Linked DNA regions of Pelodiscus sinensis. The main gene of each other region encodes a partner of the protein of the gene in region 4 in a complex. Links are inferred from orthologs where the notes say so. Each region holds a gene or a part of one and is shown on either strand. Other genes may lie near its edges. The genes, in order: NR5A2, CDH26, BCL9 and CTNNB1.

Evidence for each region.
Region 1: the proteins of CTNNB1 (region 4) and NR5A2 are in contact, whole or in part, in a crystal structure (PDB 3TX7), measured with the Homo sapiens proteins. The link is inferred for Pelodiscus sinensis from reciprocal best matches to the Homo sapiens genes CTNNB1 and NR5A2. Residues at the interface, in NP_001091679.1 of Homo sapiens: Tyr306, Gly307, Asn308, Gln309, Lys312, Lys345, Val346, Val349, Gln379, Trp383, Arg386, Asn387, Asn415, Thr418, Cys419, Gln559, Glu562, Gly563; in NP_995582.1 of Homo sapiens: Ser300, Ile301, Pro302, Glu475, Gln476, Ala479, Leu482, Asp483, Tyr484, Met486, Cys487, Asn488, Tyr489, Pro490, Gln491, Gln492, Thr493, Leu501, Arg507.
Region 2: CTNNB1 (region 4) and CDH26 share a complex: the UniProt entries of both Homo sapiens proteins name them as parts of the cadherin:catenin adhesion complex. The link is inferred for Pelodiscus sinensis from reciprocal best matches to the Homo sapiens genes CTNNB1 and CDH26.
Region 3: the proteins of CTNNB1 (region 4) and BCL9 are in contact, whole or in part, in a crystal structure (PDB 3SL9), measured with the Homo sapiens proteins. The link is inferred for Pelodiscus sinensis from reciprocal best matches to the Homo sapiens genes CTNNB1 and BCL9. Residues at the interface, in NP_001091679.1 of Homo sapiens: Leu148, Arg151, Ala152, Glu155, Leu156, Leu159, Asp162, Asp164, Val166, Val167, Lys170, Ala171, Met174, Leu178; in NP_004317.2 of Homo sapiens: Asp349, Leu351, His358, Arg359, Ser362, Leu363, Thr365, Leu366, Ile369, Gln370, Met372, Leu373.

What each region holds. Positions count from the first base shown.
Region 1 is NC_134719.1:44,780,292-44,788,072, reverse strand, and holds the start of NR5A2 (nuclear receptor subfamily 5 group A member 2), read left to right. Parts: upstream 1-4,774; 5' UTR 4,775-4,950; coding exon 4,951-5,014; intron 5,015-7,781. UniProt on the Homo sapiens protein: Orphan nuclear receptor that binds DNA as a monomer to the 5'-TCAAGGCCA-3' sequence and controls expression of target genes: regulates key biological processes, such as early embryonic development, cholesterol and bile acid synthesis pathways, as well as liver and pancreas morphogenesis.
Region 2 is NC_134728.1:11,396,991-11,404,270, forward strand, and holds the start of CDH26 (cadherin-like protein 26), read right to left. Parts: upstream 3,008-7,280; 5' UTR 2,954-3,007; coding exon 2,921-2,953; intron 1-2,920. UniProt on the Homo sapiens protein: Cadherins are calcium-dependent cell adhesion proteins. They preferentially interact with themselves in a homophilic manner in connecting cells; cadherins may thus contribute to the sorting of heterogeneous cell types.
Region 3 is NC_134711.1:163,154,922-163,161,973, forward strand, and holds the start of BCL9 (B-cell CLL/lymphoma 9 protein), read left to right. Parts: upstream 1-4,077; 5' UTR 4,078-4,121; coding exon 4,122-4,174; intron 4,175-5,112; exon of another isoform or gene 5,113-5,284; coding exon of another isoform or gene 5,285-5,298; intron 5,299-5,448; coding exon 5,449-5,765; intron 5,766-7,052. Other genes in the region: uncharacterized protein LOC142820475, read left to right, coding at 3,886-4,077. UniProt on the Homo sapiens protein: Involved in signal transduction through the Wnt pathway. Promotes beta-catenin's transcriptional activity.
Region 4 is NC_134712.1:177,510,839-177,518,245, reverse strand, and holds the start of CTNNB1 (catenin beta-1), read left to right. Parts: upstream 1-4,389; 5' UTR 4,390-4,422; intron 4,423-7,407. UniProt on the Homo sapiens protein: Key downstream component of the canonical Wnt signaling pathway.

The DNA.
Region 1 (7,781 bases), on a different chromosome or scaffold from region 4:
TAAGAAATACTGAAGTGGCCAATGGGATTCTCTGACTCACTGGTAAGACTGTTATAGGGCTTTAGGAATTCACACTTGTAAGGAGGCTGGTAAAATCTAATTAAACAACATACAGCTATATTGGGGTTTCTGCTCTGCTGTTTGATAGTCTGCCCCACAACTGGCACTTATGGTTATGAGTCACTCCAAGCAGCATGACAAATTTCTGAACAAAAAAGGAAGCCAAGTTCATGAAATCCCTGATTGAAAGGATCCTTTGAAGTCAGCCATTGGGACAGAGACTAACTAAATTATTTATTAATTAATTATTCATCCACTTCAGCACAACAGTTGAGACTACTTTTAGAAGAGGTAACACTTTGAAGGTTCAAACATTTATTTTCACAATAGTAATGTTACCATTCTCTTATTCAACTACTTTTTCTTTCTATAAATTAGTTTGAATACATTCATACCCAGAACTAGGAGGTGGCAGAGTCTGAAATGTATTTCCAGTTCTAATGTATACTGCATTTTATGGCATGGGGAGGAGAGGATGCAAAAGCAAGAGAGAGAATAAAAAGAACTAGTCATTTCATGCTGCAATTGCACTATAAGGACACAGTCATTTGGAATCAGCTGCAGGAAATACATTGACTAAATCAGAACTTTCACACTCCAGTATATATATATATATATATATATATATATATATATATATATATATATATATATATATATATATATATATATATATATATATATAAGAAACACAACAGAAAGTTAAAAATTAGTGGATCAATCAAGATCAGATTCTTCTACTTCCTCTTTTGGAAATACAGAGAAAAAGAAAGAAAAGCACCACCATTTTCTACCTAATGTGCTATTTTGGTAATGAAATATTTTGAATGTCAAAAATAATATAAAATATATAAACGAAAATATATTCAATATATTTCAAATGAATCCGAAATGTATGTCACAGCCCCAGAAAAGAATATTTGAATGGATGAGGTAAAAGCAAGATTTGCAGATTTTTATAAACCTTACCCACATGAGTAATCCTTGCTATTTATGCCTATTACCCTAGTGCATGAGTATTATAGGTAACCTGATTTGACTCCCACTGAAATCAACAGCAGTTTTGCCATTGACTTCAGTGGTAAGCTAATCACACCCATACATTGACACACCCTTCTATTTACACAAAATGAGAAAAATTTTAATCTTCACTGACTTGTCTAAAAACGGCAGAAAGCCTCCTGAGAGGGCATAAAAAGGCATTGATGGATGGACCAGATACCAAGAGAGCAATGTTTTTAAAAAACTGAAGTGAAGGGGTAAACTCCAGATTGATCTCACTAGATTTAAAACCAGAAATTCAAACTGGGGTCTAAGAGCAATTTCTAACAGTCACTATGTGTTCATCAAGCCACACTGCAAGGTATCTCCTCTGCCAAACTCTGGCTTCTTTAAAATGCATGCAGTGACAATGTGATGTGATTCACAGAACATGAAAAATTCCTTCCAATTCCATATTTGTGGCAAATGGTTGCAAAGGATTACATAAGCAAAATTCAGTCTCAGAAACCTTGCCAAGCTTTTTCAAACCACTAACTTTTTCATCTTGCAATAAATGAAAAAAACATTGAGAAAGCATGTTTCTACTTAACATTTTCCTCCTCCCTTCATGACCTACATGACCATGAATGGAAAAATAAAACAGTAAAAATATCACCTTGCAAAAGCCTTCTCTTGTTTGTATCAGAAGAAATGAAGTATGGAGCACACAGATGTAGAAAATTATTGCACAGTGCCATAACTACAAGAGAAAGCTGGCCTCATTAAAGTCAAATGGGACTTTTACCGTTGAATACTCTGAATAGAACTGTTTAAGTTCCTGATCTAGCAAATACTAAAGCACATGATTATTTTTACGCCTATGATTCAGTCAGACTATTCACATGCTTAAAGTTAGACATATCTTTAAGTACTTCACTGGGTCAGAGCCTGAGTCCCTTTTGCTAAGTAATGGCTTATTAACAAGCTGATGTAGGATGCCCTTGAGTTTTCCTATTAACTTTTATCCTTCCTATTGGCCCAGGCACTATTAAAAGTCTGTTTGTCTCGGCACCTGGCACAAATTCTTCTATCACTGAAGACAATGTATCATCGAGGGAAGGAGGTACATTTTTAAATGACCTTGACTTTTGATACTGATGCAAAAAGGAAAGGAGCTACAGAAGTAAAGCCAAAACCATGGACTTTCTTTCTAATTCCTCTGATTTAGTGTATCTGTCCCATGTACTGCAGATTCCTTTATAGACACTCTTACATATGAGCCAACTGAGCTAAAACACTGTCTCTAGTGATAACAGTGGAAAGTTTCTAACCACAGTATCATCTGCAGCATTTCTTTTATTTTAACCCTCCCCCCAACTCTGGGGCTTAAATAGAAAATAAATAGTCTCCCTGATTGCAGAAAAAACTGAACTTGAACCTGAAGTTCTTATTATTTGATCATCATGTGAATCAAGATTAGATACAGAACCTGAATCAAATAATATTTTCCTATAAAAACAGTCACATCTCTCTCCAGTTTTTGAAAAACATGAAGCCACTTCAAAATATTTCAGTGACTGTAGAGATGTGTCCACTATTATTAAATGTAGCCATTTACTCTGGCATGTAAATTTAAGCTTTATACATAATAGATAATAATCATTTACCAGAACTTTTCACTTTCACTGTCATACAAATTAATACAATCCTCCTGGGAGGTACGTCAGTGTAGTAACACTGCTATATAGGTGAGAAGACAGCAGATGAGAGATAAGGAGCCCGGTTTTCAAAAGTTGTAGGCACACATATGTGCATATGTGCACGAATGTACACGTCATATGCATTGTTACCATAATAGAATGTACACATTTATTGATATAACTTGTTACTTGGGAGACCAAGTATCTGATTAACGCCCCCCTTTGTGGTACCTACACAGGCAAATAAGTCATGCATTTTGTATTTATGTTATGCATCTAACTATTTTGAAAATCAGTCTCTACCTATCTTATTTGCAAAGGCCATAAAGGGAGATGGTGTTATATCATAATTATAACTCAGGAGTTCAAGGACCCCAGTCCAAAACTATTTGAAAACCACTACAGACAACCTCTCACATCCAATGCCCTACTGTAACTTCAGTCCTGACCAGAAGGTCTGTATACTATTTAACCTGAGTCAAAACTCATGCCAAAATGTATAAAAAGATGTGTGTGGTCTGTGGTGCTTTAGGGTCTGATGCAAATTTCACAGATGTCTTTAAAAAGACTCTAGCTTACTTGAGAGAGCTTTAGAGATGGCCCACAACACAATCAGTTTTCTCTCTTTTGGAATAGTCTGGAAATATATTAATGTAAATTGGATACGACAAGCCTGATCTGATCTCACAAAAGTTTTACACTGATGGAATTCCATTGATTTCTGTGACATTATTCCTCATCTATATTGGAATAATAAGAGGAGAAACAGAGCCAAATTCTGCGCTGTTACACAGATGTAAATTAAAGTAAATTGAGTTAGTTGCATTTTATTTCCGGTACCGTGTTGCTGGGGGTTCACCTAGACTACAGGCTTTTGTCGACAGAAGTTTTGTCGACAGATACTGTCAATAAAGCTTCTGTCGACAATGAGTATGTAGACTACATCCAGTTCTGTCGACAAAGCAAGCCACTTTGTCGACATGACAGTGTAAATGCAAAGGACAGTATAGATGCAATAACGCCTTCTGTCGACAGAACTCTGTCGACAGAAGGCATTATTCCTCGTAGAATGAGGTTTACTGCCATCGACAAAACTGCTGAGTTCTGTCAACATTATGTAGACAGAACTCGGTGTCAGTGTAGATGTAGGTATAGTTTTGTCGACAAAACGCCACTTTTGTTGACAAAACCCTGTAGTCTAGACACACCCTCGGAGAAGAATTTGACCAGCTGACAGATGTGCTCACAAAGTCATGCAGTGATCATGCTAACCCTTATAACATTTATTTTCAGCAAAGCACTGTTCAAAAAAATTCTACAACTTAGGAACATTTCTTGCATTAAAGCTGCTTTAATTGTGAACACAATAATGCCTATACAAAATTTTCCTATAATAACAATGTTGTAAAGCTCTCGTTTTATTGAGAATATAGTGTCTGATTTTAACTAAATGGCTGTCATCCAACAAGTTGGGAGTTAGTCTCCTGTTTAATGAGTAGGTGCAATAAAGTAGGTTTGTCTGAAAAAAAAATCACCAGAGGTTTGCTAATGCTCTTACCCAGGGAATAGAGTTTGAAGCAGATACATAGACCTAGTTTAAGAAATTAACGTTTGCTTGTTTTGCCATCCAAAGTGTATTTACAGAAGCCAAAACAGCCATATTTGTTGGCCGCTGTGCAAAGAGGTGATGACATCGAAAGGACAGGTCACAAGCCGGAGTTTATTGTCATTACATTTACATTGGTACTGGGTTTTATCCACTCAGTATGATCTTCTGACCCCACAATTTTACAACCTTCCACTCTCTGTGCTTCATAGCACCTCTCCACTTGTAAGTTAATAATTTATCTGCCATTATCTGCCAAGAGTTCTTATCTCTTTTGCTGTCACTTTATAACAGAGTCCTTTTATCAATCTGTACAGAGTCATGTGACCATGCCGAACCTATCAAAAGTTTCAATTCTTCTGATTAGAGTCTGTCATGAAATGGGATACATGGTTTAGGGCAGGCCACTAATGTTGGAAAAAGTACAGAGTCCATTGAAGGACATATTTGCTACTTTCTGAATTCTTGGATTTTTGTTGTTGTTCATCTCGCTGACTTTCTCTGAAGGTTATTGTAGCCTTGGTCCCAAGGCCAGAAAAGTTTACAAGCCACACCTTTCGCCAAACTCAATGCTGTACACCCTATACCCAAGGACACCTAATAATGTCTTCTAGTTCTGACACAGGCAACATACAAGAATCTATAAAACATGGGCTTACACCAGTTGGTAAGTAAATGCTTTTCTATTATAGTAACTCTGCTTAAATCTGTTAACCTTGAGTCTTATCATCCATTTCAAATTGAAAATCATAGTTATGGGATAACTTAACTGTTTAATTTACACTTTGATTTTATCAACATGAATATTAATGCATTAAAATCCATGTTTAAAATTTTAACAGTGGATCATTTAACTGAATAACTCTCTCTTCTCCGGGTTTATTATAATCACTAAATACATAATCTGCTATCACTCTAGTTTAAACTATATGGCAAAACATAACATAATTAATGTAATTGTTTGTTACAATATATTTGTGCAATTGTCATTAAATATATAAAAGGCATAAATATAAAAAAATCAGGCCGATGTCTATTTCATGAAGTCAATAAACACCTCAGAAGCATTTTCCAGTCTTATCACAAGTACTGTGGATGTCTAATATGTATTTATTTAGATACTGTACATATGAAGTGTGAGAAGGGCACTAAATAACATAAAATCTAATATTTTAAAGTATCTCTATAAAGTTCAAATGCATTCAGATAGTATCTGGAATCACCAGCTCCACAACACTAGAAAACTGGAAGGCATTTATTTTATTGCATTCAGGCTCTTACTGGGTGTTGCATGGTGTGTCTTGGTGTCTTGATGTTGTTTCTCTGGCATATTTTTTTAGATTGTTTGGGGGGGGGCATATGTTTCTGTGTTGTTTGCCCTCCCTGTGTAGTTTGCCCTCTCATCACACTTCACTTCAATCTTCATAGAAATGTCCAGACTCGATTTATTCTCCTTATTCCACGGAGTTCCTACAAAATAGACCTAGAGGGATTCGTTTTCCTTAGAGAGTCTAGCATCCTACCACCTAGCATCGGTGGGAAGAAAGTTGCGTGCAGACAGCAGCGAATCACTGGGCGCTGGGGTGACACCGGGCTGTGATTGTGCCAGGTTTGGCAGGGAGGGATTTTACTTTTCAATAGTTCTCCAAACCCTTTGCGAATCCCGACTGTGTCCCGTGAACCCAGCATCTTCTTCCTGTGCTTCGAGCTAGCCAGGAGTTGCTAGTCGTTCCATGTCCTGTCCGGGGTTTGCTTGCACAGGGTCTCCGGTTGTGCAGGTTGCATATGCAGAGGCTCAAGCAGAGCTCTCGGGAAAGCCAATCGGGCAATGCAGACAGCTCTTGTTTATAACACCCTGGCTGAGCACAGCAACAGGCAACAGGTTTCTCCGCACCTGGCACTGTTGAAGTGCCCTGCCCGCTGTTGTATGTCACTCTGGGGCAGGGCTGTCAGAGCACCAGGGAAGGAGCGAGTGTGAGGCTGGACTTTTACTAACTCCTGCCTGGACAGCTGCTTTGCGCCTGGAAAGCCTTCGGAATGGAGCTCTCTCCTCCTGGGTGGGGTCTGGTGCTGGGTGGGGGGGTCTTTGAAGAGTTGGCTCGCAGGCAGTGTAAGGACGAGGGAATAATGCAGCTGAAACAGGATCTTTATCTCTTGGGAGGAGCCGCTGCTTTCCTTTTAACTCCGAGGGAGCCGCTCAGCTCTGCTTCCCGAGGCGCGCCGGGCAGCCCTCCCAGAAGGCCGGGCAGGGGGCCTTTCCCTTTCCCCTCCACCTCCGCTTCTCGTGGGTCCGCGTCTCAGCCAAGGGAGGGAAGCTAACGGACTTGGCGGCTTGTGCTGCTCTCCGTGAAGCTCTGGACCCAGAATTGCCCCCTGGCAGGCTGCGCACAGAGCCTGAGCGGCGGCCGGACACCGGGAACTTCCCAGAGCGCGGAGCGCTAGGTCTCCTTCCCACTGCAAAGCGGCCCGTTATGGGGTCAGCGTCTCTGCACAGTCGCCAGCGACACAGCCCGGCCAAAAATACCCCAGGGACACGGTGACCAGCTGGGGGGGGGGGGGGGAGGAGGGGAGAAGGGGGAGCTATTCCCCTGAGATCGTATGGACTAGAGGCAGGATCTCCGCTCGTCTTCTGGGCGCATCTTTCCATCTCTTGCATCCCCCGCGCAACCAGCTGGGTTTCCCTCCACCAAGCCTGGGCATCGATCCGTTGCTTTGCCTTGCGGCAGTGTGAGAGGACCCTTAGGGGATGGGGGGGGGGGTGAGGCGGCTATCTCACCTCTCCCCACCTCAGCCTATCCCTCCCCCCCACCCCCCTTAGGATTTTGCGTGCGGACTCTGGCCCAGCAGGGTTCCGTGTGTTCCAGATGTTGGACTTTATGACCCACTTGTCTAGGGGCAGTTTGGGAGGTTTTTGTGCAGACGCTCTCAGGTCGCCTTAGCAGTCCTCGGTTGGAAGGAGGCTCAAGAGATCACAAGATCTAAACTGGACAAACTTCGGTCCATCTAAAGACCACTGCGCCCGGACATGCTTAGCATAGGAAGGGTTAGTCCAAACTCCTGTTTCGTGTAGATGCCTGTGCTCCTTTACACCACAGTTCTGCAAGCTTAAGAAACATGAGGGGGTTAGCAAAGGAAAATATGAAAAGAGATAAAGGGTCTGATTCTGCTCCCTTTAGGACATAGATAAACCAGAATTCCACTGACCTAAACTGACTTAATTACCTTAATGTAAAATTACAGCTAGGGCATGTGTGTACTTCTACAGTTTGCAGGCCAAATGTATAGGAGTTTTAAGTGGGAGTAAAATATGGCAGCACTATTGAACAATTTAAATTTAATATAAAGTATTACAGTTATAAATAACACTAAATAGGGCCAAATCCTGCATCCCTTACTCAAGTTAGCCTTATCTCAGGACATTAATGAGAGTTTTG
Region 2 (7,280 bases), on a different chromosome or scaffold from region 4:
CTAAGGACTTTTTCAGCCTTGCCGATAAAGAGGTAACAAGAACCAATGTCTGGAAATTGATATCAGACAAATTTAATCTTGAAATATGGCAATTTCTAACAGTGAAGCTAATTAAGGGTTGGAACGAATGGCTTACCAGGAGAAATAGTGAATCCAAACTCTTAAAATCTTTAAAATGCAATTTTCTTTCTTAAAGACATGCTCTAATCCAGTTTCTGGGGTAAATTCTACAGGCTATGTGATCATCACAGTAGTGCCTTCTGGCCTTAGTCTATGAAATATGCACATATAATCATGGTAATTGTGCGTGTTTTTTTAGGAGTACGAGCATAGCAGACTTACCCTGCATTGCCCGGATCCTTCAAAGCAGAAGGGTGGTGGTGTGGGGGAGGGAGTGCAGGACTGAGGGAAGGGCTTTCAGGATATAGAGCGGATGGAGGAGCCTGGGACAGGCGGGTATAAGAGTGAGGTCTGGAGGGTAAGGAGGGGCTCAGGAGAGGGGGGCTTTTTTCTCCCCCAGCTGTCCCCCCACTGCCAGGGGCCTTTTTTCTCCACCTCTGGCACTGTGCTAAAGGGGGGAAAGGTTTGGGGTCAGGGGAGCTACTTTGTGTGCTAGCAGGCAAGATAGGAGAGCCCCAATCCTGCTGGTCACTTTCCTGGTGGTATAGTTGCTGCCAGTGAACACTCTGCACTGCAGCATAGCTCTTCCCTGCAGTCTCTCTGCCCCCAATGGAAACTGATATCCCTCCAAACAGCAGCCCATCCCTTTGCATTTTATGGAAAACTGTCCTTCTGCCAGGACTTCCAGTTGTCCTGGAACAACCAAACCCTGACCTTGCTTTTAAGTTAGGAGAAGAGGAAATTGTAGTTAAGAGAAGAGGAAACTTTATACAGGCAGTCCCCGACTTACGCGGATCGGACTTACGTCGGATCCGCACTTACGAACGGGGCTTTCTCGCCCCGGAGGTCGAGGTAGCAGATTGCTACCTGTGAGCTCCGGGGCGAGAAAGCCCCGTTCGTAAGCTGCTCCGGTGCCCCTGGTCTGCTGGAGACCGTCTCCAGCAGACCAGAGGCACCGGGCGGGTTCCCGCGCTTCTGAGGCTTTGCCAGAGCAGAGCCTCAGAAGCGCGGGGAACCGCCGCTGCTGCCGCTTGAGTCCCGGTGCCTGTGGTCTGCTGGGGACCGTCCCCAGCAGACCACAGGCACCGGGACTCAAGCCGCAGCCGCGGGGGGGTCCCGCACCTCTGAGACTTTGCCAGAGCAAAGCCTCAGAGGCGCGGCACCCCGCTGCCGCTGCGGCTCTGCTCCCCGTGTCCCTGGTCTGCTGGGGGGGGCACGGCTAGTGTGCCCCCCCCCAGCAGACCAGGCTTTTGTTTTGGACCCTGGAGCAGAGCAGCTGGGGCGCTGCGGATTGGTCCTGCAGCGCCCGCTCTGGGCACTACTGGACCAACCCGGCAGCACCCCAGCTGCTCTGCCCCAGGTCCTGATTCAGCCGCTGCTGGTCAGTTTCAGCAGTGGCTGAATCAGGACGCCTGGGGCAGAGCAGCTGGGGTGCTGCTGGGTTGGTCCAGTAGCGCCGAGGAGCGGTGCTACTGGAGCAACCCAGCAGCACCCCAGCTGCTCTGCCCCAGGCGTCCCCAAGTCAGCCACTGCTGAAACTGACCAGCGCTGACTACAGGAAGCCGGAGGAAGAGTTGCTCTGCCCCAGGCTTCCTGGAATCAGCACTGATCAGTTTCAGCAGCAGCTGACTTGGGGAAGCTTGGGGTTCTTAAGTTGAATCTGTATGTAAGTCAGAACTGGCGGTCAGTTTCAGCAGCGGCTGAATCTGGACGCCAGTTCCGACTTACATACAGATTCAACTTAAGAACAAACCTACAGTCCCTATCTTGTACGTAACCCGGGGACTGCCTGTAGCCATAAAAGAGCACATCTATGTAAACAAGGTCTTTTCACTTTATACTGGTTTTGTATTAATTCTAGTAGTTCATAAATGAACAGGTGTGAAATATACATGTTTTTATTAAATAATCAATTGACTTTGCAATTCTGTGGGTTCTCTGGTATGCTCTTGTGTTTAAATAAGGTTCTGCAGAACCTTTCACACATGTTTAACTTCATGTGTGTCACTAGTTCCACTGCACTTAATGGGACTAGTATTATGCTTAAAAAAGCTAAGAAAAGCAGGTGTGTAAGTCTTTCTAGAACTGGGGACTGAGAATGGTATCCGGTCTTTTTAAGTGTCATTTCCATAGTTTTACCTTGTGGGAGTATCCCCATCTTGTTTGGTTACATTTTGCATGCAAGAACCTATTTGTGGGCTTGGAAGGATTAGATTTTTTTGGCAAATGTTGATGTCACAGAACATACACAAACTGACACATTTCCTTCCATGATGGTTGATATTTACAGATAGGCAAAGTAAGAAAAATTCGGTTGGAGAACATTCTAGGATTGAATTGAAAGATATAGTTTTTACTTGGCATGTGTTGATATATTCTGTTGACCACCTGCGTTGTAATGGTTATAAAACCATAACTTTTTGACTCTTAACTGTTGTCATTAAATAACTAGTGTCTGGTCGCTCCCTAACTTCTCACAACAAAGAAAACTGAAACTGATTAAAAACCCAAACGCTTAAAAATATGAAATGGTTGTAAAAACTCAAATGTTGCCAAGCCCCCCTCTTTGAGATCGGTGCCTCAGCGAAGCCGGTGGGTTGACCGGAGAACAGTTTCAAGAGCAAAGATGGGTATTTCCAAAGGGTTTTCCCCTAACACCGGCTCATCATCTCCCCCGCTCCCGCATCCCTTGCCTGTGCAAAGCTCCAGCCTCCTCCAGTGCGCGGTTCCCGACCTCCCCCTGCCCAACCTCCACGAGGCGCCCTGTCCCCCTCGCAAGCGCGGCGACCCCCACACCTACCGCCAGGAGCAGCAGCGCAGCGAGGCACCCCATGGCCAGCGGGGCAGGCGGTCCCGGGAACTCCCGCTGATGTGATCCGCGGCGGCGCTGCCTCCCAGCTTATAAAGCCGGCTGGGGGAGCAGCCGGGGCGGCCACGTGCCGCCCCCTCCCTTCCACTGCAGGGCCCGGGCGGGCGATGCAGAGGCTCCCCAGGCCGGCTGGGGGGAGCTGTCCGCCGCCTTGCAAGTCGCTACTGGAGCTGCAGGCAGACCCGCCCCCCTAGGGGTGGGGGGCACCTTGCGAGTCCGGTCCGCGCAGACGGTGTAGGAGCGTGTGGGTGGCGGGCGCGCGATTTGGGGGCACCCTCCTCCCTCACCCCCTTTCCCTGGAGGCTGCAGGGCTGCGTTGTAGGGCGCCCCGCGGCGTGAGCCTGTCCCCTCACTTCTCACCAAAGCGTGTGGCTTGGGGGGGGGGGCTCAGACTGAGGAGGGGGGGGAGAGCTCTGCCCCCAAAGCAAACTGTGGCCATGCCCGTGGCAACCCGAGGCTCGGCTCAAGGGAGGTGGTACCGTTCAATATAGGACCATGCGCTGTCCGCTCTGCTGGGCTCCACCTGGGTTATGCTTTAGGAGAACCACATGCTGACTTCCTGGGCTGGGCGGGAGGGGATGGATAAATAGTGGTATCTCTTCAGCACTACCCACCTGTTGTAGTAAAATGAGACCCCCTGGGTGAGGGAATTAGAGGTGCTACTTCATCTGGTTTGAAGTGGTTCCCATCAGATACAGGACTTAGAGTTTGGTTCAATGGTTCTCAGCACCCCGCTACACAAATTGTTCCAGCCTTGTGCATGTCTCTGATATCATCTTTCTTACTGCTGCAATAAAATAATTAACAATGTTGACACTGAAATCATCACTAGGCCTCTGAGTAACAACTTCCCTGGAAGAATGGGGCAGTTTGCCCCACCCCGTGGTTCCAGGCTCCTACAAACTCAACTAGCTGGTCTCCACATTTTCAGTTAAGGTCACATTTCTGCGGTTTTCTTCACAACCATGACAACTGGAGATTTCTTTTCAGAAGTACAAAATCTGAGAAGCTGGAGAACAACACAATATCTACAGAAAAGTGGAGTGCAGTGCCCAGGCTGCTACCGGCTAGTTTCAAGGGCACTCAGTGCCTTGCAGGAAAGAGAGGTTGCCCATAGGGTGTGTCTAGACTACAGGGATTTTTCGAAAAAAGTAGCCTTTTTTCAAAAAATATTTACCTGTGTCTAGACTGCTGCCGCGTTCTGTCGACAGTAAATCGAAAAAACTCGGCAGTTTTGTTGATGGCAGTAAACCTCATTTTATGAGAAATAATGCTATTTTCAACAGAGATCTGTCAAAAAAAGGTATGTGTGGATGTGGAAAAGGTTTTTTTCTTTTTTTTTTTAAATGCTTCCAGGAAGAAGCCCTGGTGGACACCCCTGCCAGACCTTTCACCGCCATTGTTCCTGCCTGTAGCATCTTTTAAAGGCACAGGCGCCCAGGAGTAGCATTGTGGCAGCAAGCCAGCTCCAACCAGGATCCTGACTTCTCGGCTCTTGCTGGAAGGCACACTCAGAGCCATGTCCCAGGGACAAGTTCCCCAAAGCCCTCCTGACCCTTCCAGGGACACATCCCCGCACCAAGCCAAGGGCACCAAATGCCAGGCACCCTCCTAGTCTGCGCCTGAGATCAAAGCCCTCTTGGAGTTCTGGTTGGAAGAGCAGGGAAGTCCTTAGCCATAGGCAGAGTAGGCAGTTGCCTAGGACACCAGTATTTCTGGGGCATCACTCTGTAGGGATGGACTGGAAGCAGTGGAGCATTTATAAGCAGGGGCTAAACTACTGCTTGCTATCAGACAGCTAAAAGGAGACAGCTGCCCTGTGGGTGAGTGTGCTCACTCCAATTGTTTAGCTCTGCAAGATAATTAACTGTTAACTGTTGACTTGATATGTAAATACAGCTCATGCCAGGAGGGGGAGGGAATACAAGGTGTGGCTATGTAAATCCAATTCAGCCAGGCCTGATGGACGATCAGTGTTGGAATGGAATGTGGTGTATTGTAACTAATTTGGGGATGTTGTGGGGGTCACAAATCATGCCAGCCATAAATGTGGAAACTGTAAAATATGACACCAGTGTTTGCAGGAGAGACACCCTCATTGTAAGAGGTCTCAGAGGAACAAGCCTCCCCTCTGCCATAGTTGAGTGAACTGAGTTGGGCTGGTGGGTGTAAGTAAGTGAGGAGTCTTTTTGCTAGTCTAGTAGAAGCTAGAATCATTGCAAGAGGAGTAACGGTAGTTTGAATTAGGAGTTTTAATTCAAACTACCTAGTCTGTGCTGCATGTAGCTGCGGGTAGGTACTTTGAACTAGGGGGCATTTAAAAATGGTGGCACCAGGGAACATGCAAATAAAGCCCAGGATATTTAAATTCCGGGCTTCATTTGCAAGTTCGAATGCCTACATTAGCCACCCTAGTTCGAACTAGGGTAGCAGTATAGACATACCCTAAGGGAAGCATTTTACATTGTTAACAAAAAGTTTATTTTTCTTTACAAAACAGTGATATAGGTTTTGTAACATACAACAGTGCAATAAACTGTAAGCATTTTGTCAAGCACACCTATCTCTGTTCTCTGTGTGAATGTGTACAACGGGGGGCAGAGATAGGTTTTGGGGGGAAGGCACTGGGGGCATGGGGCACACCCACATTTGGAAGGCCCTTGGGAAACTCATCGGGCTCCTTGGGAGAATCTCTCCGTCAGGGCTTCCCAAATACACAATCCCAATTGGTGGGCTTGGAGGATGGCAGCTGTCCAGGGCTGCTCAAACAGCCTCCCCTCCACATCAGCCCATGTCCCCCACACAGGGAGGAAGGCCTCCCCTTTCCTCTCCCCCAGGTTGTGCAGCACACAACAGGCAGCAATCACTTTGGGGATGTTGCGTTCACCCATGTCCAGCCGAGTGAGCAGGCATCTAAACCTGCCCTTCAGATGGCCAAAGGCGCACTTTACCTGGAAGCGAGTCTGATTCAGGTGGGCGTTAAACAGTTCCCTGCTCGAATCCAGGTGCCCAGTGAACAGCTTCGTGAGCCAGGGCATAAGGGGGTACTCCACATCGGCCACGATGGACATAGGCATCTGCACATTCCCGACTGCAAAGTTTTGCTCTGGAAAGAATGTCCCAGCCTGCGGTACAGGTATGAGTTCTGGAAGATGCAGGCATTGTGTGCCTGGCCTGACCACCTGACACAAACATCTGTGAATTGTCCCCGGTGACCAACCAGGGCCTGCAGCACCATGGAAAAGTAGCCGTTTCTGTTAATATACTGCGCTGCACAATGGGGAAGTGCGCGGATCAGGATGTGAGTCCCATTGAGTGCTCCACCGCAGTTCAGAAATCCTAGCCCTGCAAATCCAGCCACAATGGTATCCAGGTCTCCAAGGCGGACAGTCCTTGACGCAGCTCCGAATTGATGGCCGTCACCACCTGCAGAAAGGGACAAATAGAAACACATATAAGAGGAAATTAGAGGAGTTGCCTGAGCTGATGAGAGGTGCTCCCTCACCCCTCCCCGATCCCAAGAGCACCCCCTCAGGCAACCCTCCTTCCCCACCCCCCCCCCCACCACAGCAGTGAGAGGCCAGGAGGGCTTCTACCATTCCCACCCCATTCCCTCTGCCCGGTCCTGACTGTCCCCCTTATCCACCTCCCCCACTATGGACTGTCCCTAGAGAGTGACTTACCTCCATCAAGACGGCCCCAACAGTAGACCTCCCCACACCAAACTGGTGTTCCGAGCGGTAGCTGTCGGGGGTGGCCAGCTTCCATAGAGCAATAGCGACACACTTCTCCAGGGGGATGGCAGGTCGCAAGTGGGTGTCCTGACATTGTAGGGCAGGGGTGAGCCAGGCACACAGCTCCTGGAACATGCACTTCCGCATATGGCAGTTTCAGAGCCAAGCCTTGTCGTCCCCCTGCTCCCTAACAAGATGGTCCCACCAGTCTGAACTGGTGTCCAGCCTTCAAACTCCCCTCTCCAGGAATAAGTTAGGTGGTAAGGACAGTGGGGCTGCAGTTTGAGTGAAGGGCTCAAAGCTGGGCTCTGAATCCAGCTGTGCCATGAACATGATGATGGTCTCATGAAGATGCAGCAGAACTTCCAGCATCACAGTGTGGGGCCATCGCCTGCCCAGGGGCAGCTCCAGCTCCATGGCAAAAAAATGATTGAAAGCACAAAAACCAACCAGGAAACCAAATGCTATGGTGTCCCACAAAGCAGGGCACTCCAAGCAAGCACTGCAGAAGCTTTGCTGTCCCTCTAGGAGGTAGGCAAGCCAGCTGCAGGAGCAGA
Region 3 (7,052 bases), on a different chromosome or scaffold from region 4:
TGTAATTTGTCCCAATTGCCATTAACCTCAATGTCTCTAACTACTTTCTCCTTCAAAATTTTTTCCAAGATCTTGCATACTACAGATGTCAAACTAACAGGCCTATAGTTACCCGGGTTGCTTTTTTTCTATATTAGCAATTCTAGGAACTATATTAGCAATTCTCCAGTCAAATGGTACAACCCCTGAGTTTAGAGATTTATTACAATTTTTTGCTAATGGACTTGCAATTTCGTGTGCCAGTTCCCTTAATATTCTTGGATGAAGATTATCGGGGCCCCCCAATTACTCCCATTAAGCTGTTCAAGTTTGACTTTTACCTCGGATATGGTAATATCTACCTCCATATCCTTAGTCCTATTTGTTAGGTTACCATTATCCCTGAGCTCTTCATTAGCCTCATTAAAGACTGAAGCAAAGTATTTGTTTAGATATTGGGCCATTCCTAGATTATCCTTAACCTTCACTCCATCCTTAGTAATTAGCGGTCCTACCTTTTAATTAGCTGTTCAAAACAGCTGGCCGTTCCCTCTGTGCAGTGCACAAGGCAGCTAGAAGGAACAGCCCCCTTCCACCTCAGACCTCACCCCTTCCGGGGCTGTCCTGGTACCTCATACTAAAATTGGTGAAGTGGCTCCACTGCAAAAATTGTTGTCCACCCCTGGCCTAACTTCAGTTTCATGAGAATGACCATGAGTAAAATTTTCTCCCAAGACTTTACAGCAGTGGAATTGAGGCACTTTTGAAAATGTGAATTCCTTTTTTTCAAGAGGGACTTAGGAACCTCAGACACTGAGAGGCAGTGGGATGTAGGCACGTACGAAGAGCTGATTTTCAGATATGATGATACAGCACCCTGCACACCTTTGTGCATGATAGAAATAACACTGACACTGTAACTACATTGCCCTAAAAACTGATGAGATGCTCTCCTTGCAGCTTTAGATATGTGTATGTGTGTGGTTCTTGTTGAGTTCTGTGGTTCCGAACTGCTCTTGCTCTACCCAATACAAATGAAGTTCTTAATGCAGGAATGTTCCTTGCATTAAGGGACTTGGGCAGAGCAGTGAAGGCAGAAATATTGAGCAAACACATTGCAGTCACCAGGATTGCTCTATAGCAGCCAAGGGCACTGTGGAGAGGAGAATCTTTGGAGTTGTTGAGATCTACAAATTAATTATTGTGATGTCCTGACACTGTATTGAAGTTGCATCAAGGTGCTGATATGATATCATGAAATAAGTGTGATGACATGCCAAAATCACTTAGTGGCGCTGGAGAGCCACAAAACGCCATACAAATGCCTTCCTAGCGAGTTTCTCACTGGCAACAATGTGATCATATGGAGGCAGGTATTTCTTAATCCTCCAGTAGCAATGCATCAGTGAACTGATTTATGTCCTCTTACTACCCGTAAAGTCCTAGTTACTTCATAATAGGTAAGAGCCTGCCATCCTGGTTAATTTTATTTTGTTGCTATTGAGTCATACAAGAAACTGCTTCTTCCTTGCTGAGAAGAAATAATGGGGATATTTACATTTGAATAATTTTTAACTAGCAATATATAATACATGAACAATATTCTAAATGTTTATATTCTAAATTAAGTGGATTTACATCTGAGTAGGTAAAATAAACAGAAAATATTAGTTACAATATTAACCAGATTTTTTTCCACAAAATTCTTTAGTCCAAGGAGCATAAGAAACACACAATTCCAATATTTTCCTCTAATAATGTAGAATAAACTGTGTTATGATGTTCTGTATGGGCCAGTATCATGCCTGTTGCCTCTCTTCAGAAACAAGCTCAAAATTGTTCATGTTAAATTAAAATGTGTTTTTAAATAGCCTGTATGATGCTGAGCAAATTTGGATGGACAGTTCTCCCATATTCGGTCAGTTAAAAGGATTTAGTTTAAAAAAAAATTGACCATGTGTTCTTCTATGCTCTGAGTAATCAAGTCTCATGCTTCATGGCATGAACTGGTTGTTTACAGGTGGTCAGGAAGGTATTTTCTTTCTCTTTCCCTCCTGTGTATCTTCCACCACATAGCATTCCACTAATGGCTAATTATGTTGGGATAGTGTGTGGGGGGGGGAAGTCTTTATCTTCCTCTAAGACGTCAGGTAATGGCCATTCGTAGTGGGAATTCTGGACAATTGGGACAATTGATATGTATAGTCCTATGTTCCTAGTGATTTGGTGTGGGGCAGGCTTAATTAGGTCATACACATTCACAGACATGAATTCTTCCATGACCTAGATGAAAGAGTCTGGATATGACTAAGGATGTTAAGGACTAGTCGATTTCCCTCTTCCCCCGCCCTGTTGCTGCCTCTATTACATAGAGGCAGCAAAGGGGGGAAGAAGGGGTACTTCAAAGCAGCAGCGCCGCACAACTGATCCTGGGATCAGCTGTGAGGCGCTGCCACTTTGAAACACCAACGTGGTGGTCAAAGGGCAGCACCATGCAGAGTCCTGGGTCAGCTGTGGACTCCACAGGCTCCAGGTGGATTTCAAATTGGAAGCGCAGCATGGAGCCTGGGGTGAGTGGTGGACCCTGAGTCCCCCACTGACCCGAACTCCATGAAGGCGCTTCCATTTTGAAATGCACAAGAGTCCCCACTGGGGACTCTTGTATATTTCAAAGCTGGCACGACCCCATGCAGCCCGGAGTCAGTGGGACTTCCTCCTGGCCCCAGCTGCACATGGAGTTCTACCCCAGTTGCAGCTCTTGTACATTTCAAAGGAGGAATGCGGAAGTGCCTTTCGACTAGTTGAGTAGTTGATGGAAATTCCATCGACTACTTGACTAGTAAGTTAACCGCTAGTTAACATCCTTAAATACGGTGAACTTCACTACCTCTGTCTGCCATGCTTGTCTGAATCCAGAGTAACCTGTTTTGGGTTAAGGGAGAATGGCTTCACCTAGAGATGTGAAAGTTTAACCAGTAAGCCTCACCCTTAAGGGTGAGGCTTACCAGTTAATGTTAACTGGTGGGGCTGGAGCAGCTCATTGCCTGCTGCAGGCAGGGGGGCTGCTCCAGCCTTGCTGGAGGCCTGCCTGGCCGGATCAGCCTCTGTCAGTGGTGAGCCAAGGAACCCCCATAAGCAGGGGCTGCTCTGACCGAGCTGTATGCCGCATTTCAAAGCGGCAGGCGTGTGGAGCCCGGGATCTGCCATTTTGACCCTGGGCTGCACACAGCATTTGAGCTGGGGAATCCCCCACTGACCCTGGGCTCCATGCAGTGCTGCCACTTAGAAATGCCATAGGGAGCATGGGGCCAGTGTCTTGAGTCTCCCGCTGGCCCGTGCTCCCTGCAGTACTTTCACCTTTGAAGTGTAGCAATAGCCCAGGGGCTGTTGCTACACTTCAAAGGTGGAGGTACCCTATCGACTAATTTAATAGTCGATGCAAATTGCACTGATTATTCAATTAGCCAATTAATCACAATTTTACATCCCTAGTCCCATCCAGAGCACCCTTTGTTAGCAGTGAGTCAGGATGCCCTGTACACAGGGACTGTCTAGGCTCCAGCTGGGGGAAAGGAGTGTTTCAGCTCACTGGTGGGGGGGCCCTTCAGCTGGGCTGGAGCACCTCGACCCTCGTCCCCCTTTAATCGGTTAACCATTTAAACCATATGTTTAACTAGTTAGCCAATTAAATGGGATTTTACATCCTAGCTTCACCAGATGTGAGTTTTTAATACCTTCCAGAGGCTTCTCCTTGCTGGGCATTCCAGCCAGCTGCACCCTGTTAGTGACGGAGGAAGGATTGCCAGGCACCTGTCGGTTTCGTTCAGGTAATTCAGGGCTTGGAATGTACTTTACCTGTCTTCTGTTCTTTTTTGGGGGGTCGATTTGACACAGTGTGCCCTGGAGATGCGAGACTTCCCCTCAGCAGCAGGAGGCACGCGTTCAGAGAATGCTGGAGCTGCAGGAGGGAAGGGTCCAGTGCAGCGACACAGAGAGACAAAGAGAAAAAAGACAAGTGGACGGACAGCGGTGAGAGAAGCGTGTGGCAGAAAATATTTCAAAGCTGCCAGCAGCAGCAGGGCCCCCAGAGGAACTTGACGAGAGCCCATCCGTGTGCGTGTGAGAGCACAGGATATCTGTCAATGCATTCCAGTAACCCCAAAGTGAGGAACTCCCCGTCAGGAAACACACAGAGGTGAGGAGCGCCAGTGAATTGTTCTGGGATGGAGGGGGAGGTGTCCCATGTCTGCTGCAGCGTTACTCAAGGCTGGGTCAAGCACAGATGATCTTTGTGCTTGTACTCCAACACAAAGTCCTCCCTGTGCTGCTGAGAGGAGCAGCATGGAACTGATTATCATTGCACAATCCTCGTCCATGTCATTCATCTGCCTGTGCCAGACATCCTCCTCCATTGGCTTTGGAAGAGGGAAAAGCTTGAAGGAAAGGTGATCACTGGATGTGTGATGTGCTTGACAGCCCACCTAGGTTTGATGCTTCGCTCCAGGGGTCAGCAAGAGCTGACAGTGACTTGGAGGGGGTGCTTCTGAGACAGCTGTCTGGCCAACCAAAGGAGCATGCTGCTCCTTAGTGAGCCTTGCTACAATGCATTGCCTTTTTGGGTGGGGGTGGGGTAAAATGAGCTCCTAGTAAATCCCTACAGAAGAAAGGAAGGGGCTGACAGTAGCTAAAATAAAGGGAGGAAGGGAGACTGTAATTGTATGAAATCTAAGGAGACCACATAGTTTTAGGATGTAGTTTGTGTAATGGGACAGAGAGTGGGAAAATACTGTTTGTTTGTTTGTTTTTTGTAAAAGCTAATGCAGTCTCCTCCACCGCATTTTTCAGGAGTGTATGTGGAGACAGTATCCTCCTCTTTCCTCATTCAAAGACAGGTTGTAGCTGGTTTAATTGTTTTCATGGTCAGAGGTTTGTATTTGCCTGCAGAGTTTCCCTAATCTGTGATGAGTGCTGTAATAATGCTGGGTTTTCCTTATGCTGTCTTGGGCTGGCTTGTGGTAGGTTTCTCCACTCTGTGATCACAGCTGTACTGTGTCATTTGGGTCTGGATGGGTAGTGTGGTGAACTTTATGGTGCCCTGTTTGTTTACTTTGAGCTGGTCTTGGTGTGAGAGGCTTTTCTGTGTACATAGAAACCGTTGTCTTTATTGACAGAAGCCCCAGAGGTGGGTCCTCATGTGACTGAGCAGGGATCTGGCAGGCCTGCTGCTTGCTCTTGTGCCTCCTTAAGCACTGTGATCCTATATTGGATAATAACCCTTGCAAGGCATGTTTGGAAGAGCAGCTGGATGAAGATAAGCATGTAGGCATTTCTTACTCCACAGCAACTGCCTTGCTCTGGAGAGGCAGTAGCAGTGGCTGCTGTGCTTCTCTCTAACCCAGTCCTGCTGGAGTGATTTGACAATCTCATCTCTGTTTTTAAATTCTCTCTTTTCTTTCTTTTTTTCCCCAGTAGCCCCAAATCAAAGCAGGAGGTGATGGTCCGTCCTCCCACAGTGATGTCCCCGTCTGGAAACCCCCAGCTGGATTCCAAATTTTCCAACCCGGGTAAACAGGGGGGCTCTACCAGCCAATCCCAGCCCTCTCCCTGTGACCCTAAAACTGGAGGTCACCCCCCTAAAGTGCTCCCTGGCCCAGCTGGGAGCATGGGGTTGAAGAATGGGGCTGGAAATGGTTCCAAGGGGAAGGGAAAGCGAGAGAGGAGCATTTCAGCGGATTCCTTCGAACAGAGGGACACTGGGACTCCCAGCGATGATTCAGAAATTAAAGGTAAGTGCCAAGTTTTGGTGTGAGATGATTATTTGGCTTGTGGGGGGTTAGCAAAAGCTTCTGTCTGCCTGAGGTGGTGACTGTGGTGAAGGAGGCTAAATCCCCTGTAGAGAGGGGAGAGGATTTTCCCAGCTGGTAATGATAAATGTATGTCTCTGTGTTCAGTTGAAGTCCAGCCCTGCTTAGGATTGAAAAGTTGTTTCTTGATAACACTGAAATTCCCCCAGAGGTTTTGGGAAAACAAACTGTCAGTCTCCTTCCACCCCATTCTGTCTTGTGGCCTCCCAGGAGCTACTGTGTTTTGAATTGGAGTGTCAGAACCAGCATGCAAACCAGTTTTGTGAATACAGATGGGCAAGGTGTATTGGGTGGTATTATACCAGGGATGTTGAAAGTTGGTTCAATAGGTAACAATGTAACTGCTGAAAATCTCACCAGTTATACGGTTACATGCTGCAGATGCTACAGTATAAAGCTTAAATAAGTTTATTTAAGCTTTATACTGCAGAGCCTGCTGCGAAGCTCCCTGGGAGTGGGGTCACCAGCCCCTGCTGGCTTCATTATTGCATCCACTCAATGGGTGGCAGCAGTCAAAAAAGCAAAAACAATGGTAGTAATCATTTTTTTTTTTTAAGGGGATAGTGAATAATACCAAAAATATCTTGCTGCCTATATATAAATCCATGGCACGCCCACATCTTTCGTACTGTGTGCTGATGTAGTCACCTCATCTCAAAAAAGATATCTTAGCATGGGGGAAAAGTTCAGAAGAGGGAAACAAAAATGATTTGAGGTATGGAACAGCTGCCATATGATGAGAGACTAAAAGACTGGAATTTTTCTGTTTAGAAAAGAGGAGACTAAGGGGGATATGATAGAAGTCTATAAAATCATGATGGGCGTGGAGAAAGTAAATCAGGAAAAGTTATCGTTCCCATAACATAAGAACTAGGGGTTCCCTAATGAAATTAATAGGTAGCAGGTTTAAAACAAACAAAAGAGTGTTTTTTTGTATACTGCACAGTCAACCTGGGGAACTCCTTGCTGGAGGATATTGTGAAGACCAGGACTTGACCAGGGTTCAAAAAAGAACTAGATACATGCGGAGGTTAGGGCCATCGGTGGCTATTAGCCAGGATGGGGAGGAATGGTGTCCCTAGCCTCTCTATCAGAGCCTGGAAATAGATGACAGGAGGAGAGGGATCACTTGATTCCTTGTCCCTCTGGGGCATCATTGACCACTGTCGGAAAACAGGTTACTGGGTGAGCTGGACCTTAGACGACCCT
Region 4 (7,407 bases):
TAAAATATATTTCCCAACTATGCAATAAGCATTACATTACTTAATTATGTCTCAGGTAGAATATTTGAACACTACAAGCATTTTTCTGCCATACCACATGTTTCATCAAAAGTGCAAAACTGTTTTTATACACTGCACATTTAATTTCAGTGGAAGAATTTTGTTAAATGGCCAACATGCAGGATTGTGGTGTTGCTAAATTGTTATTTTTTTAGTTTAGCATTTTAACAATATTATAACTTAGTCTGTAATCTGTACAAAAAATGTGCATGGTTAGAAATCAATTACTTTTTAACATGGGAAATCAAAGATTTGGGCCCTATTACTTAAATATATCTTTAATTGTTCATTCTGCTTTGAGTACATATAAATACCATTGCAACTTTTCCTTTACTATGTGTTTTAAGACATAGCTATATTCCAATTGCCTTAGCAAGAAAGGTGACCAACGAAATTTACCTTTATCCGTTTTTTTTTCTGTTTGAGCTGCTCCCTACTGTGATGCGGAGTTAAAAGTTGACGCTGCAAAAACAATGTCAAGGATGTTAAAAAAGGCTAAAAAAGACATTTAAATCATTATCTTTTTAAAATTTAACCAAGAAGTTCTCTTTTGCAGCAAACATGTCTCACTGCAGAAATACACAATGGTCTTGCCAGAAGGCTGTTTGACTTTTTTTTAAAGAAGTCTCCAGTATAGATAACTAACAAACACTTACCAAAAATAAATCTATTAAAATACTAATCAGGTCTTTAAAAAAAAACCTATATATATAATATGAAAGCTTGGGGATTGAGGAGAGAATAAGTAGAGTGATTGTATATTCTCCATTGTTTATTGTGAATTAATTAACTGAAGCCCTGAATTCTAATAGCCAAGACAAAATGTTTCCCTTTTTCATACTGTACCATATTACATTGTATTTTAGAAACATCTGTAATAAAACAAAGTGCTATTACAAGTTAAAGTAAATTGCAATTATAAGACTTACATATAGCTATTAAAGCAATGGCTCTTCTCAGCTATCTCCACCAAACAGAAAGTATCTGGTAAATAGTCAAACTGCTCATTGACTAAATACTGTAAACCAAACCAAATCAAAATGTTAATTGACTACTGCCTAGATACAAAAGTAACTTAGCAACTCTGCAATAAATCTAGTACAGATTAAATGACTAAAAATATACAATCTTATAACTCCTCTTAAACTCACTATAAAGCAACACAATCTGCTGAAGGCATTCTGAGATTCATAATTTAAAACCTCCTTTAAAAGAGGTTCATTCCAGTGGTCCTCATGTCAAAAAGAAGAGCAGTCCACAGTCCTGAGGCCAGAAGCAAACAGACTACTCTTCCTGAAAAAAACCAGACTCCAGCATTCCCTGTCCCCTCAGACCTCAGGGGGTGGGATAGCACACAAAGAGACTCTGAAAGGTATCTGGGACCATGCAATGTATCAAGGGCATTTAACTGATTCTACTGTTGTTATCAAGGACCCAAAAGAATTGCTTATGGTGAATTTGGCAATAACAATACTTTCCACTGCAGAGATTCTCAGGTGAAAGATACTAACAGTCAGAAATATTATCCCCATTTTACAGAGGGTGAAGTTAAGACATATATGATTCATTTGCCCAAGGTCATGCAGCAAAGTAACTGGGGAGACAAGGAGTTTCACAAAGAATCAAGCTCTTTTGCGGCTAGTATCCAACCTAATTCCCCAAAACCATACTGCCTTGGAAAGCTGTCATAATGCAGAATGAAAAATCCTGATGCAAACTGAATGCCACTAACAGGGCATTTGTGCTAACCTTTGTGCTTAGAACAGAAATATTTTAATGAACAATAGAGATTTCCTCCTGCTGGATGTTGGCCAGATACTGAGTCTCAAACCTTCCGAGAAGAATGTTTTATTTCGCCTGGTTCTTTTATTTGTTTCTTCTGAGATTATTGAGGGATTCTTTCAGTCAGGCATGCAGTGCAACAGTCAGGAGGTATATTTAGCAGCCATATATTAGCTAATGTAAGGACCCCCAGTACTTTCTTGGAGTTAGAGGCATAACGCCCCCTAACTACACATTATGCCTACGGCACATACAGGCTAGGACTTGGGTTTTGGAGCTGGGACAGCTTGTGGGAGAATGGCCCCTCACAGGGCAATGACTGCGAGAAGCAGTCTGAAGATTGCTACATGCCCTAAAATGGGGGGGGGGGGGTTGAGACCGTTAAAGAGCAATACCTTGAAAGCCCATTGTAACAGTGACATAAGTCTCCCCCAGTTGAGAAAGCCTCTAATGTTGTCCCACCCCGGCTCTGCTCTGCCGGTGCCCCGCTTTACCTGCGTGCGAGGAGTGGGCTGAACAGGGGGAGGGAAGAAGAGGCCGCCTCGCTTCCCCACGTGGCCTCCTGGCACCCAAGAGCCGCTCGCCATTCCAGCCCCGAACCCCACCCCTTGGGATGGCTGAGGCGGAGCCTGGGAGGCTGCGGTGGGACCTAAGGTAAACACGGGGCCGAGCGGACCCAGTGACAACGCGCCCTTAATGACCTGGGCGCCTTGGCACAGGCAACGCGAGAGCGAGCAGCGGGCGAACCACTTTCGGTCCTACGTAGAAGACTTTAAAGTTTAAAGCATCTTCCTTTCCCACGCCAGGCAACAGGCAACACGGCAAACAAAGTCCAAATGTAGGCGGTTGTTTTGTTTGCCTGAAATATACTTTACCGGTGCAAAATCGCGCGTGCAAAGAGACTGCATAATAAGTCTAGCCAGTGCAACATCAAATGCCAGTTTAAAACATCCCGCTAGTGCAAGATTAAGCATACAAAGAAAGAGCCGCTGTGTGTGTGTATATATATTTTTTTTTCTCTGAAGAGCAGATACACGATCAGATAGGAGCAAAAAGAGCTTATGTGAATTACATCCAGTGCAGATACAAAAAAGAGGCACTATAAAAGATATGTGGCTAGTTCAATATGATATACGAAGAAAACGCATATAAAAACTCAACAAAAACACCACTCTGCGTACGTTAAAAAACCTTATTTTGCTACTGCAAAATCATGTATTAAAAAAATGCCGTGGTTTTGTTCTAGCTGTGTGGGTTTTTTTTTAGAATACACTCATTTGTATCCATGCTCATTCGCTAAATTGTGTCTCTTATTATAGTTTAACTATCTACTTGATATATTGAACATATTTTGCTAGTGAAAAAGTCTGTAAAAGAGTTTGCAATAGGCATGCAGAGGCTGAAGTGGATGTGCAAGATCGTGCATGCAGTGGGAAAGCATGTGTAATTCATACTATTTTCCTGTTTTTAAAACTCCTCCAGAAGGCGAAAAAGTCGAGTTTCTCCCATAAAGCCATTGCATAACTAGATACTTTCTTTGGCAACAGCTTCCTGACAAATATTTATAAAGGAATTGCAGAACGCGTTTCCGCCTACGTGAATGAGTCTCAGTCATAACCACCTTCCCCAGACTCACTGCCACTTTTTTTTTTTTTCAAGGAGCGGCGGAAAGCAGGGCACCGTGTGCCTCCAGCCGGGCACAGTGTGAGCGGGACGGGGAGGGGCCGTCGTTGTTGTGTTTTGCAAGCCGCTTTCGGAAACGATCATTTTTTGTTCCCTGTTGCAAATCAGAAAGTTTAATCAGCGGTGCGGGAAACGCAAAGGCGCAGAGGGCTTGCTATTAGCTCTGCGCTCCGCAGCAAGCCTTGGGGGAAACACGACGCCACTTTCGATAGCTAGGGGAGTGTAAAAATCCCTCAGCCCGGTCCGTAACTCCTAATTCGTTGGGGGGGGAGGGGTTGAGAGGAACCAGCAGCTGATCCCTTGCCAAGTGGTTACTGCCCCTTTAAGAACAACACGCTGGTGCTGTTCCCCCAGCAGCAACTTCTCTCCCAGGCAGGAAGGAACCAGCCTCGTCCCAACCTCCCGAAGAAGGTGTCTCCGCCGCCCCTCCCCATCCTGGCCTCATCACACCTCCCTCTCGGCTGGATCACTGCTCCCATCCTGCCTTGTTCTCCACAGCGCCCCCGCTCCCGCCTGTGTTCCCAGACTCCCCACCCCCTCCCCCTTGTGCAACTCCGCCCGCCTCCCCCCAGCGCCCTCCGCAGGGGCGAGCTACCTTCGGCGGGTGGCGCACAGCTGCCCTTTGTCTCCCTCCGCCCAGGGAGCCGGGCACTATTTCTCCTCCCCCTGCCCGGGCGCTTGGGTGCCTGTGGAATGCTGCGCGCCGAGCCCGGCAGCGGCGGCAGGATACAGCCTCGCCTCGCGCGCCCTATAAGAACCTCCTTGCGAGCGACGCCATTTTAAGCCTCTCGCTTGGTTCGGCGGCAGCGGCAGGGGAGTGTCCGGCGGCGACCGACCGGAGGCGGCGGCGGCCGGAGACCAGGGCTGCGGGACCTTGCGCTCTTGCCTCCCCGCGGTGTCAGTGGCGCTTTCTGCTCATTTCCCGCTTCCCTCCCTTAGCCCGGCGGGGGAGCCGGGCGTGCGGGAGCCTCGCTCCGGGCTGTGCGGGGGTGGGAGGCTGGGGGGGGGGGGTTGCCCGGGCGGGAGGCCCGCGCTGGGCCTGGCCGGAGCGTGGGAGGGGGGGGGGTCACTCGGACACGGGGCACTGGCTCGGGGCGGTCCGGACACTTGAGTGGCCGGGGCGGCAGCTGAGGCGCCTCGCGGGAGGCTGCCGGACCGCTGGCCGGGGTGGCGGGAGGCGCGTTGTTTGCAGCCGGGCGCTGGGGTGGGAGGCCGGTCCCGGGGGCTCCGCGCTCTGTGGCGGGCGTTCCGGCGCGGCTCCGGGAGCGGGCGGCTGTGGGGGAGGGAAGCGGGTTCGGGTTTGTTTGGACGGTGTAAGTCTAACGAACGTGCTGCTGGACTGCGGCCGCTGTTATCTGTTGCGCTCTGGGCTTTTGTCTCCGCTGCGTGTTGTGCTTGCGGGAGAGGCGCCTGGTGGTGTCCCTGCCGCTGTGGGGTGTTTTGAGTAGTGGCTGCTGCGGAGCGGGGTGTAGCCCGAGCGAGTTTAAAACAACCCAACTAGCTGGAGTCTCTCTAAAGAAAGAGCGAGGTGTCTTGAGGCTTTCCTACCGGGGGAGGGGAACTTGCTGGCTTTGGATTAGGCCATTTCCGAATATGCAGCGTGTTGTGGGAGAGAGCTGATCCTTCTGAGGGGAGGCGACCAGACTTGCACTCTTCTTCTCTCCTCTTCCCCCCCCCCCCCCCCGGCTTATGTAAAACTTAAAAATAAAAGTTCAGGCATCTTTTACGTTCATAGTTTCGGGCTTTTTGCCCAAACTGAAGTCTTAACGATTTATTAAAAACACTGGCCATTCTTGGGACAGCGATGCCTTAAAACAAATCAGAAATCTTAATTTTGTTTCTTGGCTCTTTCCTTAAAAGAAACTTGATACACTAAAAAAAAACCACTGGTAGTGTCTCTACTCTTTTTTTTTTTTTTTAAGTGAAAAGGTGGCTTTCCGTACGATTTTTGGAGGAAAAGCCCTTCTATGCAATGCTAACTGCGTAGGGAGATTTTTTTGGGGGGGGATAGCAACACTGAATCAGTTGTAAACGCTGGCTGTATTTTCTTGATCTCTTCTGTGTGGGTCGTCTCTTGTTCCCGTGCTTCCTATCTTCCAGACATCTGTGGTCCTCCCCTCCCCCAAGTATGCAAGTGGTGACTGGAAAGAGGCTGGGCTGGTATGCTGAGGTCGGTGGAAGGAAGTCAAGGAGGGGTTTCAGTAAAATGGGGACTCTGAGAGTATAGTAGGCTCAGATTAGAAACTGTCCCGAATGAACAGGACCGCTTCCTCTGATCTTAAAGTTGCTTGTATTCTGTATTAGGATTTATCTCCTTTGGGCTGGCATGTGAAGTCCTATTTGGCCAAGTTACCCACCTTAGATTCTGTTAGTTAACTAGTAATGTGTTGAATGCCTACAAATTTAACACACTTGTCTTAGGCAGTTAAAATCTTTATCTAAAGACACTAGTCTGTGGATCCCATTGGCATCAATGGCAGATGCTGGATGCTTGGCGCTGTTGAAAAATAAAATTTTAGATACCCAAATCAGCTTTAAGAGCTGAACACCCTGAAATTTCACCATTCTATAAATTGCATTAATATACTGTTAAATGTATACTTTGATTTGAGGAGCCTAGTGTTTGACTGCCATTTTTTAATACAAACAGTCTTCAAAAATGTAGAACTGAAGAGACTTGTAGGCTGGCTATAGAGGTTGCTCTGACACAACAGTTAATGTTAATTTACTGCACAACTTGTGCTTCATGACTTCAGTAGAATCTACATCTTGTAGCCAACTCAGAGTGGCTTCAACTATTTCCTATTGCCTCAAGTGTCCTAAGCTTTTTGACTTGAGCTATTTCTACTTTTAAGGCATGTAAGCAAGATTTTTTTTTTTTTTTTTTTGGAAGTGTCTCTACAGAACTCAAGACTTTCATCTGGTTATGCGGTTCTAATTCAGGGTTTAAAAAATAGGGTTGTGTAACTGTGGCTGGGTAGCTAGCATTTGTTACTTCTGTGTGTTAGTTGCTGTCATTTGTAAGGTAACTTAGTTTTACAAATTAAGTGCCTGCTGCCCTGGGCTAGAGCAGGTTTATCAAGGAAAACTGTCATCATAAAGAGTGGGTGAGGCAAAGTCCTCCTTTTAAACTTGTGAGATTTTCTTGATATGCTGATCTGACTGGATACTGTCATCCACTTCTTAGAATAGTGTTAACTGAATAGATCAGATCTTATAAATGTGCCACATTGAAGAATAGCAGTATTACAGTAATTCACAGCTTTATAAAAACCTGCAAAGTATTTCCAGTGCCTGCTACACATTCTACTTCTCCCTCTTCCCCTTCATTATATCAACTTCCATGTGGGAGAGGTTCAAAACCAGTTGACCTGCTTTCTTGAGTGATTCATGCAGTGTTAACTTTCTCTTCAGTTTTCTTTTGTCTCTGGAGATACACTGGCTATAAAATTAATGCACTCAAAAAGGGAACAGTGGTTAAACAGCCATTGTAACAAATAGTGCTGTTAATCTGATTTAGAAGTGGATAGGAATAGCATTCAAATGATAAAAGGGAATTTTGAAATCTGTAGTTATTATAGTAAATATTTTGTGTATTTCTCATTGGCTTAGCAATAGTACTTGTTTCCCCTGAAGTGACCAAAAATCTGACTCTCCCTCAGGGAGATGTGCAAATGCTACATACAGATGACTTAAGTTAAATGAAAGAGGTTGATCAGACTCTGAATATTGTCAAACTTTGCTAATATCCACTTTGCCGCCTTCTGATTTTTGTCAAGGAGTTGAAATACATTTTATGAGTGCCTGTATTTCCAAATTATTCCGTTCATGGAATAAGACTGACAGGTTTGCTAGTCCAGCCACTGGTCTTACAAATTCTCA